2 linked regions of the Coturnix japonica genome follow. The protein of the gene in region 1 purifies or fractionates together with the protein of each later gene. This does not show direct contact. Links are inferred from orthologs where the notes say so. Each region holds a gene or a part of one and is shown on either strand. Other genes may lie near its edges.

What was found.
Region 2: the proteins of HADHA (region 1) and GPC1 purify together in Homo sapiens (co-immunoprecipitation; 3 studies listed by BioGRID and IntAct, with this or other methods). This does not show direct contact. The link is inferred for Coturnix japonica from reciprocal best matches to the Homo sapiens genes HADHA and GPC1.

The regions. Positions count from the first base shown.
Region 1 is NC_029518.1:95,817,145-95,821,727, reverse strand, and holds the start of HADHA (trifunctional enzyme subunit alpha, mitochondrial), read left to right. Parts: upstream 1-1,501; 5' UTR 1,502-1,545; coding exon 1,546-1,633; intron 1,634-4,583. Other genes in the region: HADHB (trifunctional enzyme subunit beta, mitochondrial), read right to left, coding at 98-172, 532-583. UniProt on the Homo sapiens protein: Mitochondrial trifunctional enzyme catalyzes the last three of the four reactions of the mitochondrial beta-oxidation pathway.
Region 2 is NC_029524.1:621,352-625,162, forward strand, and holds part of GPC1 (glypican-1), read left to right. Parts: intron 1-1,803; coding exon 1,804-1,934; intron 1,935-3,811. UniProt on the Homo sapiens protein: Cell surface proteoglycan that bears heparan sulfate. Binds, via the heparan sulfate side chains, alpha-4 (V) collagen and participates in Schwann cell myelination.

The sequences.
Region 1 (4,583 bases):
AACCACTCTCCTAGTGAAGAACTTCCCCCTAACATCCAACCTAAACACAGGTAACAACCTGACACGTCAAGGTTCTGATAAATGTAAACATACTTACAGACCCTGATGGCCCATGCTGAAGAAGCAGGGAGGTTTCGGACGGTATGGCTCAGCATAGAAGTCATTTTGATATCTAGAAGTGGAAAAAGGTTGTTAATAATCCACTCTGACCTATCTGGATTAATTTCAAGGGAAATAACCTGCTCGCTTCACACAAGAGCCAAAGAAAGGGAAGAAACAGAAGCTGATCCAAGAGCAGCAGAGATTACTTTCTGTTACAGCATCTAACAGATGAAGTGACTGGCTTGTGACTGCGGCCTGCTAATACCCCTGTAAATTAACACTTATCTCCAGGAGGACCCAGCTCTGATCTGTCAGCAGCTGGTAGTTTTAGCTTCCCCCCTCAATAACTATCCCACCACTTCCCCCTTGAAATACCGTCCCGGAGCCCAGCCAACGTCACCACCAGTGTGATCCTCCTGACGCACTCACCTTGGCACCATTTCACACCACGGCCTTTAACTTTAACCCCAATAACCCTCATTGGGCATCCACACAATAAGCAGAATATCCCACTCAGCGCTTCTCTTTAAAGGTCCCTTCCAATTTAAAAGGTTCTATGACTCTCTCTGGCTATAGCAGCATCCTACAAACCAATATCAAGCTCCTCACACAGATAAAGACCCCATAAACCAAACCTCCTCCCTTCTCTATCCTATCTATCTCTTGTCTCTATCTATCTTCTCTCTCCCTCTCTGCCTCCCCTCTCTTCCCTCATACCTCTGCCGATATCCCAGAGCAGTTCTCACATACCCAACCCAACGCAAGCACAGCACCCATGGATTTCATTGCCTCAAACGCATAAAAACCTTATTTTATTCTTTTTTTTCCCTTTTTTCCCTCCCAGGAACCCTCAGGGACCCCAATAAAACACCTCAATGCCCATAGAGACCCAGAACCTGCTTTGCTTGCATAGCAGCCCCTACACCCCCATATATACACACATATAACACCACACACATCACTTCCTTACCCCTCCTAGGCCTCACCCCCAAATAACCCCCCCCCCAAAATGCCCATAAAAGCCAACTAATCCCAATCCCCCCCACATTCCACGCTGTTTAACCCACACAAGCCCCTATTTCCCCACATAAACCATTATTTCCCCCATTAAATCGCAATTTTCCCTCATAAACCCAACAATCTCCCACCTCCTCCTGCGCACCCCCGTCCTCTCAGCGCCGCCGCCTGCCCTCATGAAGGCCCCCACCCCGCCTCCAGGGCTGCCTCACCCACACCCCCTTTCATCCTTTTCCTCCGCTAGACTGATATCACCTTTACATTATCACCTACAGCCACTAAAGCTTTATGGATAATATGAAATAGAGAGGGAATCAAAACCAAATCGTGCTCGGAGACAGGCACTAGTGTAGACAGCCTCAAGGGCGGATCGAAGCCCCCCCTCCCTTGGCGGCCTCTCCCTCATTCGACCTCGCGCGCAACAAGATGGCGGCCGCAGTGCGCGCTATGGGCAGCTTGGGGCGCTTCGCGGCCGCTACCAAGTATTACCCGCCTCGTCGACAGGGAGCTGAGGGTGAGATATGGGTGGGGGGGAGCCTGGTGTGGTAATGGGGTCGGTGAGGTGGGGGGCAGTGCTGAAATGACGGGTGGGTGGATGTGGGGGGGGTGTGGAGGGCTTATAAGGGGGTTTGTGAAGGGGCTGTAGGTGTATTCATATATAAAGGTGTTAATAAAGGGGGTTTGTGAGGGGTAAAGGGTCGTAGGGATGGTGTTGTGAAGGAGCTGTGGGTGTATCCACGTATAAAGGTGTCAATAGAGGGGGTATATGTGGGGTAAAGGGTCGTAGGGATGGTGTTGTGAAGGGGCTGTAGGTGTATCCATATATAAAGGTGTTATTGAAGGGGGTTTGTGAGGGGTAAAGGGTCATAAGGATGGTGTTGTGAAGGGACTGTAGGTGTATCCCTATATAAAGGTGTCATTGGAGGGGGTTTGTGAAGGGTAAAGTGACATAGGGATGATGTTGTGAAGCCTGTAGGTTATATATAAACGTGTTAATGGTGGGGGGTTTGTGAGGGGTAAAGGGTTGTAGGGATGGTGTTGTGAAGGGGCTGTAGGTGTATTTGTATATAAAGGTGTTAATAAAGGGGGTTTGTGAGGGGTAAAGGGTTGTAGGGATGGTGTTGTGAAGAGGCTGTAGGTGTATCCATATATAAAGGTGTCATTGGAGGGGGTTTGTGAAGGGTAAAGGGTTTTAGGGATGCTGTTGTGAAGGGGCTGTAGGTGTATCCATATCTAAAGGTGTTAATGGTGGGGGGTTTGTGAGGGGTAAGGGGTCGTAGGGATGGTGTTGTGAAGGGGCTGTAGGTGTATTCACATATAAAGGTGTTAATGGAGGGGGTTTATGTGGGGTAAAGGGTCGTAGGGATGGTGTTGTGAAGGGGCTGTAGGTGTATCCATATACAAAGGTGTTAATGGAGGGGGTTTGTGAGGGGTAAAGTGTTGTAAGGATGGTGTTGTGAAGGGGCTGTAAGTGTATCCACATATAAAGGGGGTTTATGTGGGGTAAAGGGTCGTAGGGATGGTGTTGTGAAGGGGCTGTAGTTGTATCCGCATATAAAGGTGTCAATGGAGGGGGTTTGTGAAGGGTAAAGGGTTGTAGGGATGGTGTTATGAAGGGGCTGTAGGTGTATCCATATATAAAGGTGTTAATAAAGGGGGGTTTGTGAGGGGTAAAGGGTCGTAGGGATGGTGTTGTGAAGGGGCTATAGGTGTATCCATATATAAAGGTGTTAATAAAGGGGGGTTTGTGAGGGGTAAAGGGTCGTAGAAATGGTGTTGTGATGGGGCTGTAGGTGTATCCATATATAAAGGTGTCATTGGAGGGGGTTTGTGAAAGGTAAAGTGCCATAGGGATGGTGTTGTGAAGCCTGTAGGTATATCCATATATAAACGTGTTAATGGTGGGGGGTTTGTGAGGGGTAAAGGGTCGTAGGGATGGTGTTGTGAAGGAGCTGTAGGTGTATCCACATATAAAGGTGTCATTGGAGGGGGTTTATGTGGGGTAAAGGGTAGTAGGGGTGGTGTTATGAAGGGGCTGTAGGTGTATTCATGTATAAAGGTGTCATTGGAGGGGGTTTGTGAAGGGTAAAGGGTCATAAGGATGGTGTTGTGAAGGGACTGTAGTTGTATCCGTTTATAAAGGTGTCAATGGAGGGGGTTTATGTGGGGTAATGGGTCGTAGGGATGGTGTTGTGAAGGGGCTGTAGGTGTATCCATATATAAAGGTGTTAATGTAGGGGGTTTATGTGGGGTAAAGGGTCGTAGGGATGGTGTTGTGAAGGGGCTGTAGGTGTATTCATATACAAAGGTGTTAATGGAGGGGGTTTGTGAGGGGTAAAGTGTTGTAAGGATGGTGTTGTGAAGGGGCTGTAGGTGTATCCATATATAAAGGTGTCATTGGAGGGGGTTTGTGAGGGGTAAAGGGTCATAAGGACCCTTTACAACAAAACACAAAGGTGTTGTGAAGGGGCTGTAGGTGTATTCATGTATAAAGGTGTCAATGGAGGGGGTTTATGTGGGGTAATGGGTCGTAGGGATGGTGTTGTGAAGGGGCTGTGGGTGTATCCATATAGAAAGGTGTCAATGGTGGGTTTGTGAGGGGTAAAGGGTCGTAGGGATGGTGTTGTGAAGGGTGTAGGTGTATCCATATATAAAGGTGTCATTGGAGGGGGTTTATTTGGGTTAAAGGGTTGTAGGGATGGTGTTGTGAAGGGGCTGTAGGTGTATTCACATTTAAAGGTGTCAATGGAGGGGGTTTGTGAGGGGTAAAGGGTCGTAGGGATGGTGTTGTGAAGGGTACAGTGTGATGAGGTGTGGAGGTGACACCAAAGGGGGAATGGTGTTGTGTTGGGGTCAGTAGAGGGATGTATAAGGGGTGGGGGGGTCGTAGGCCACATATTGCACTGGGTGAGGGCCTCATTGAGGATTTATTAAAGGTAAAGGGGTTGTGAAGTGGTGTGTCCAGGCACGAGGGCGGGGTGGATCTGTATGTGGCACTATGGGGGCTGGTGGGGATGGGAGTTGCTGAGGTATGTGGTGAGGCCCCCCCTGTATGGGGGGGACACTGTTAGGTGTGTGCCTCCTTGAGGGAGCTGCCGTCCCATGATCTCACCTTTGAGACTCTGGACAACCCCTTTGGAGGGATCCCCCCCTGTTGGGGGCTGTCCTTGTGTCCTTGAGTTGAGGGTTGTCTCTATGTCCTTGAGCTGCTCTCATAGCACCTCAGTGTTCCTGCCCCCCTGGGTGGGGACACCTTTGTCTTTGGGACTCACAAGGTGTCCCCAGATGGTTGGGGAAGTGCCTTTGGTGTCCCACAATCTGCCCTATTTCTGGTGTACAAACGTTTCTCCCTTGTGCATTTGCTCCTTGACCTATTTCACAGTGCTTCCCCTATAGAAGTTCCAAAGAGAGAAGTCACTAGGACCCCCAAGTGAGATCTGGGGACATAACTCAGGCTGTTGGAA
Region 2 (3,811 bases), on another chromosome or scaffold:
TGTAATTGCCTGAAAATAGAGTCTTGTAGATGACACTGCAACCCCTCTGTGGCAGCAAAGTTGAACTGCAAGCTCTGTGATGTTACAGGAGATGCTATTTCACAGAACACGAAAACATAACAACTCACATGGCATGTTTAGCTTTAGGTGTGACTGTGCATGCTGTTAAATCCTATATGACAGAGCAGAGCACAGACTGTGCCCTGCATGGGCATGATCTGGTATCTTCTGTGGATTTGTGCTATCCCTTCTGTAGTACTTGCCCAGGATGCTCATTCAGTGGGAGCAGTCAGGACCTGAACATTAGCCATGCAGTATCAAAGAGAACATATTTTTGAGGGCTGTGCATGCTGTTACATTGACAGCAGTGGACTCAGGATCAGGCCATCCTTGTTAACATTGTGCTTCCACTGTGGACCTACTGCCTCTGCACAGTGTCTGCAGGACCTCATGGAAGGCATCTGGGGCCTTTCTGCCAACTCCTACTGCTTTGCACAGACAAGGGACTGAATACACGTTTGAAGTGATGTTGGTCCCCATTTGTGCCCTGGCTGGGTGGACCCCTGCTCACAGGAAATCCTATTGTGCAGCTGAGTGGCACTGCGTGCTATGGGATGGTGTAGAATGGTGTGTTCTACTGATGCCCTGCTGAACTGCTGGGCACAGCTCACCTGGTGGTTTCCTTGCTCATGAATATCAGCACAACGAACATGTGCAGAATAAGCTTTCTGCAGCATCACACCATCTGCTGTGACAGTCTCCTGCCAGACTGATGGGGAAGGTATTAGGATCTAGGATAGAAAATTAATCTCTGCTAAAGAATGAGTTCTTCAGCCTGGACCCTGGGATTTGACCCCCTTTGTGCAGAGAAGGAAAATCAACATCACAGGTGTTTTCTTCCATATGGAGAAGCCGCAGGAACATGAGGTACTTTCTGTTCTATATGAGCGAGAGCCACCCCTGCTCTCTGCTACATCTCTTCCCCTGCCAGGAAGCATTTGGTGTGTCCTGCGGAATGCAAGACCACACGGGAGTCATCTGAGGTCACAAGGAGCTGCCAAGTCCCTAAATCCTCATGGTCTGGCCTTCAGGCTGCTTGGAACAGAGATGGTAGAAAACTGAGGCGGCAGCAGCTCTGCAGCGGCTATTTTGACTGACAAAGCCAGCCCTGGTTACAAACCTAATTTAGGTGTCTGAGACCTGTCCAAAGCTCCTGCTTAACTCTGGCTGGAGATCAGCCAAGGAGATCAGCTTTCCTACGTGTGGCATTCCCCAGTGCCCCATGACCTGTGTGCACACAGTCTGTCTTTCCTTCAGACCCACAGAGCACTGAAAATCTTCTCCATAGGCAGAGGCTGGTTATAGTCCCAAAACACAGTCCCAAAACAGCCATGGTGGCGGGCACCTCCAGGTCAGGCAGGAGCACTTGGAGAGCAGAGCTTTACAAGATAGGAGGAGCTGAGAGCAATAGGCATGTCCTCAGTCACACTCAGTCCCACTGATCAGTTTAGTTGTGGGCTTCACAGTCTGCTCTTTTGCCCTTAGTACATGATATTTCCTTTTTCTTGCTCTTTCGCTGCCTCAGAAGCTGTTGCTCCCATCCAGTACCTTTGGCACCACATCCACCCTTTAGACAGCTGTGCCATTCTGGAGGATAATGAGCATAGGTTTAAAAAGCAGTGAAAATGGAGAGATATCCTCCAGCAGATCTTCCAAGAGGCCAACCCTGTAGTGCACCCAGCATGAGCATGAGCTTTAACATGGTTTGTCTGATGAAGGGATGTCTCTGTGTTATTTTACCAGATGCGCTGGTTGCTGTGGCTGATCGGATTGATGGACCATACAATGTAGACACAGTAATAGGGACTATTCACATGAGGATCTCTGAAGCTATTTCTAACTTGCAAGAAAACAAAGTTTCAATCACAGCCAAGGTAAGAGCGTGTGCCTGGGCCTGGCCTAGGGTACACCATGTGTAATTGCCTGGATCAAATGGTTTTTGTTCTCACTGCTGAATTGAATAAAGGGTAGGAAAGAAGAAGGAGAGATGATGCACACTCTTTTGATGATAGGAAAGTACTGTCTTAGGCAGACAACAACCTTCTGAGGTATTTCCAAATGCTTCTCTCTGCCACAGTCAGCTTTCCTTAGGTACAGACACGCAGGCGGGACAGCACTTGCAGTGACTGTGGGCAACATGGTGTATTTGCTGTCAGGTGCCTCTGTCTGAAGAGCACTGAAGTATTCTGACTGAGCTGGGGCATTTAGAGGAAGTGTACAGTTCTTCTTACACTAGCAACAGAATGCAGCAGCTTCAGCCTGCCTCGGGGTGATGATCTGCAATAGAAACACCATTCCATCAGGCTGTGGGGCAGAGCTGTGGTTTAGCAGTCCATCTGGAGGGGCTCTCCTGATGCCCACCCATCTTTCAAGAAACATATCATGAACATTTGTCTTTCTGCTTGTCTTCTTTTTGTGTGTGTTTGTGTGGCTTCTATAGCTGCAGGTGGGAGTACCTCCAGGGCTTCTGATTCAGCCCAGGGGTTCCCTGAGCCCTGCAGCTATCCCACAGTTAAGGCTAAGATGCAGATGGTGTGTGGCAGGCCCTAACTGCATCTTGGAGAGGAGAAGGAAGAAAATTATTGCTTAACCAAGCAGGAATTCACTAGCACAAATCACAGCATTAATGGGGATATGTATCCGAGGACTCGTTTAGGTTTATTTTCTAACGTGAAAGACCATATTCTTTCTCTCAGTGTTAGGTTGGAAGAAATTGTACACTTAAAAGCAAGCCCATCTTGCCCATCAGGCACATAAAATAAGCCCGTCAGGAGTCATCTGAAAAGAAGGATGTTTCCAAGGGACATAGAATAAGTCTGGTAAAATTAAAGGAGATTAAATAGTCCAGTGTAGTCAGTGTCTGACTAGAAAACAGAACTTATTTGCTAAAGTTCTCAGTGAGATCTAGTGGCCAGGTGAGTTTGGCACCGGTAGTGGATGTTTGGAGCTGCAGATTGATGCGGCTGCGGGCTCTGATTTGGGCGCAGCACAATGATCTGGTGGAGTATCACTGTCAGATGAATCAGAGAATCACAGAATTGCTCAGGTTGGAAAAGACCTTAAAGATCATCAGGTCCAACCGCAACCTGACCATACTACCCTGGGCCCGGGGTTCGAATCCCCCCTGTGGTGCAAGTGGTAGAAGTGCCGCTCTGCAGCACAGAGGCTCGAATCCCGGGAGTTGGACTCGATGATCTCTAAGGTCCCTTCCAACCCGCACGATACTATTACTATTACTATTATTACTATTACCCTCACTCTAACAGCTCTCCGCGAAGTCTTGTTCCTGAGCACCACATCAAGACGGTTTTTAAACAGTCAGTCATGCTGACTCAACCACCTCCATGGAGAACCCATTCCAGTGCTTAACAACACTTTCTGTAAAGTTTTTCCTGATATTCAACCTAAACCTCCCCTGACACAACTTGAGGCCATTTCCCCTCTTCCTGTCAAAAGTGAGAGGAGACCAGTCCCTCTCACTGCAGTCACCTTTCAGGTATTGGAAGAGAACAATAAGGTCTCCCCTCAGCCTCCTTTTCCCCAGACTAAACAGCCCCGGTTCCTTTAGTAGCTCCTTGTAGGGCATATTCTCCAAGCCCAGGCCTAGCCCAGGCTGCTACCCTCCCTCAGCTACAAAAGCTGCTTGGTGTGTAGGTAAGTGACCTTATCAGGGAAGCTGTAGTTACAAAGCCCCCACCACTGATGTAACAACTGTGAGCAATTCCCAGCTTATTCTTCTCAGACTTCCCAG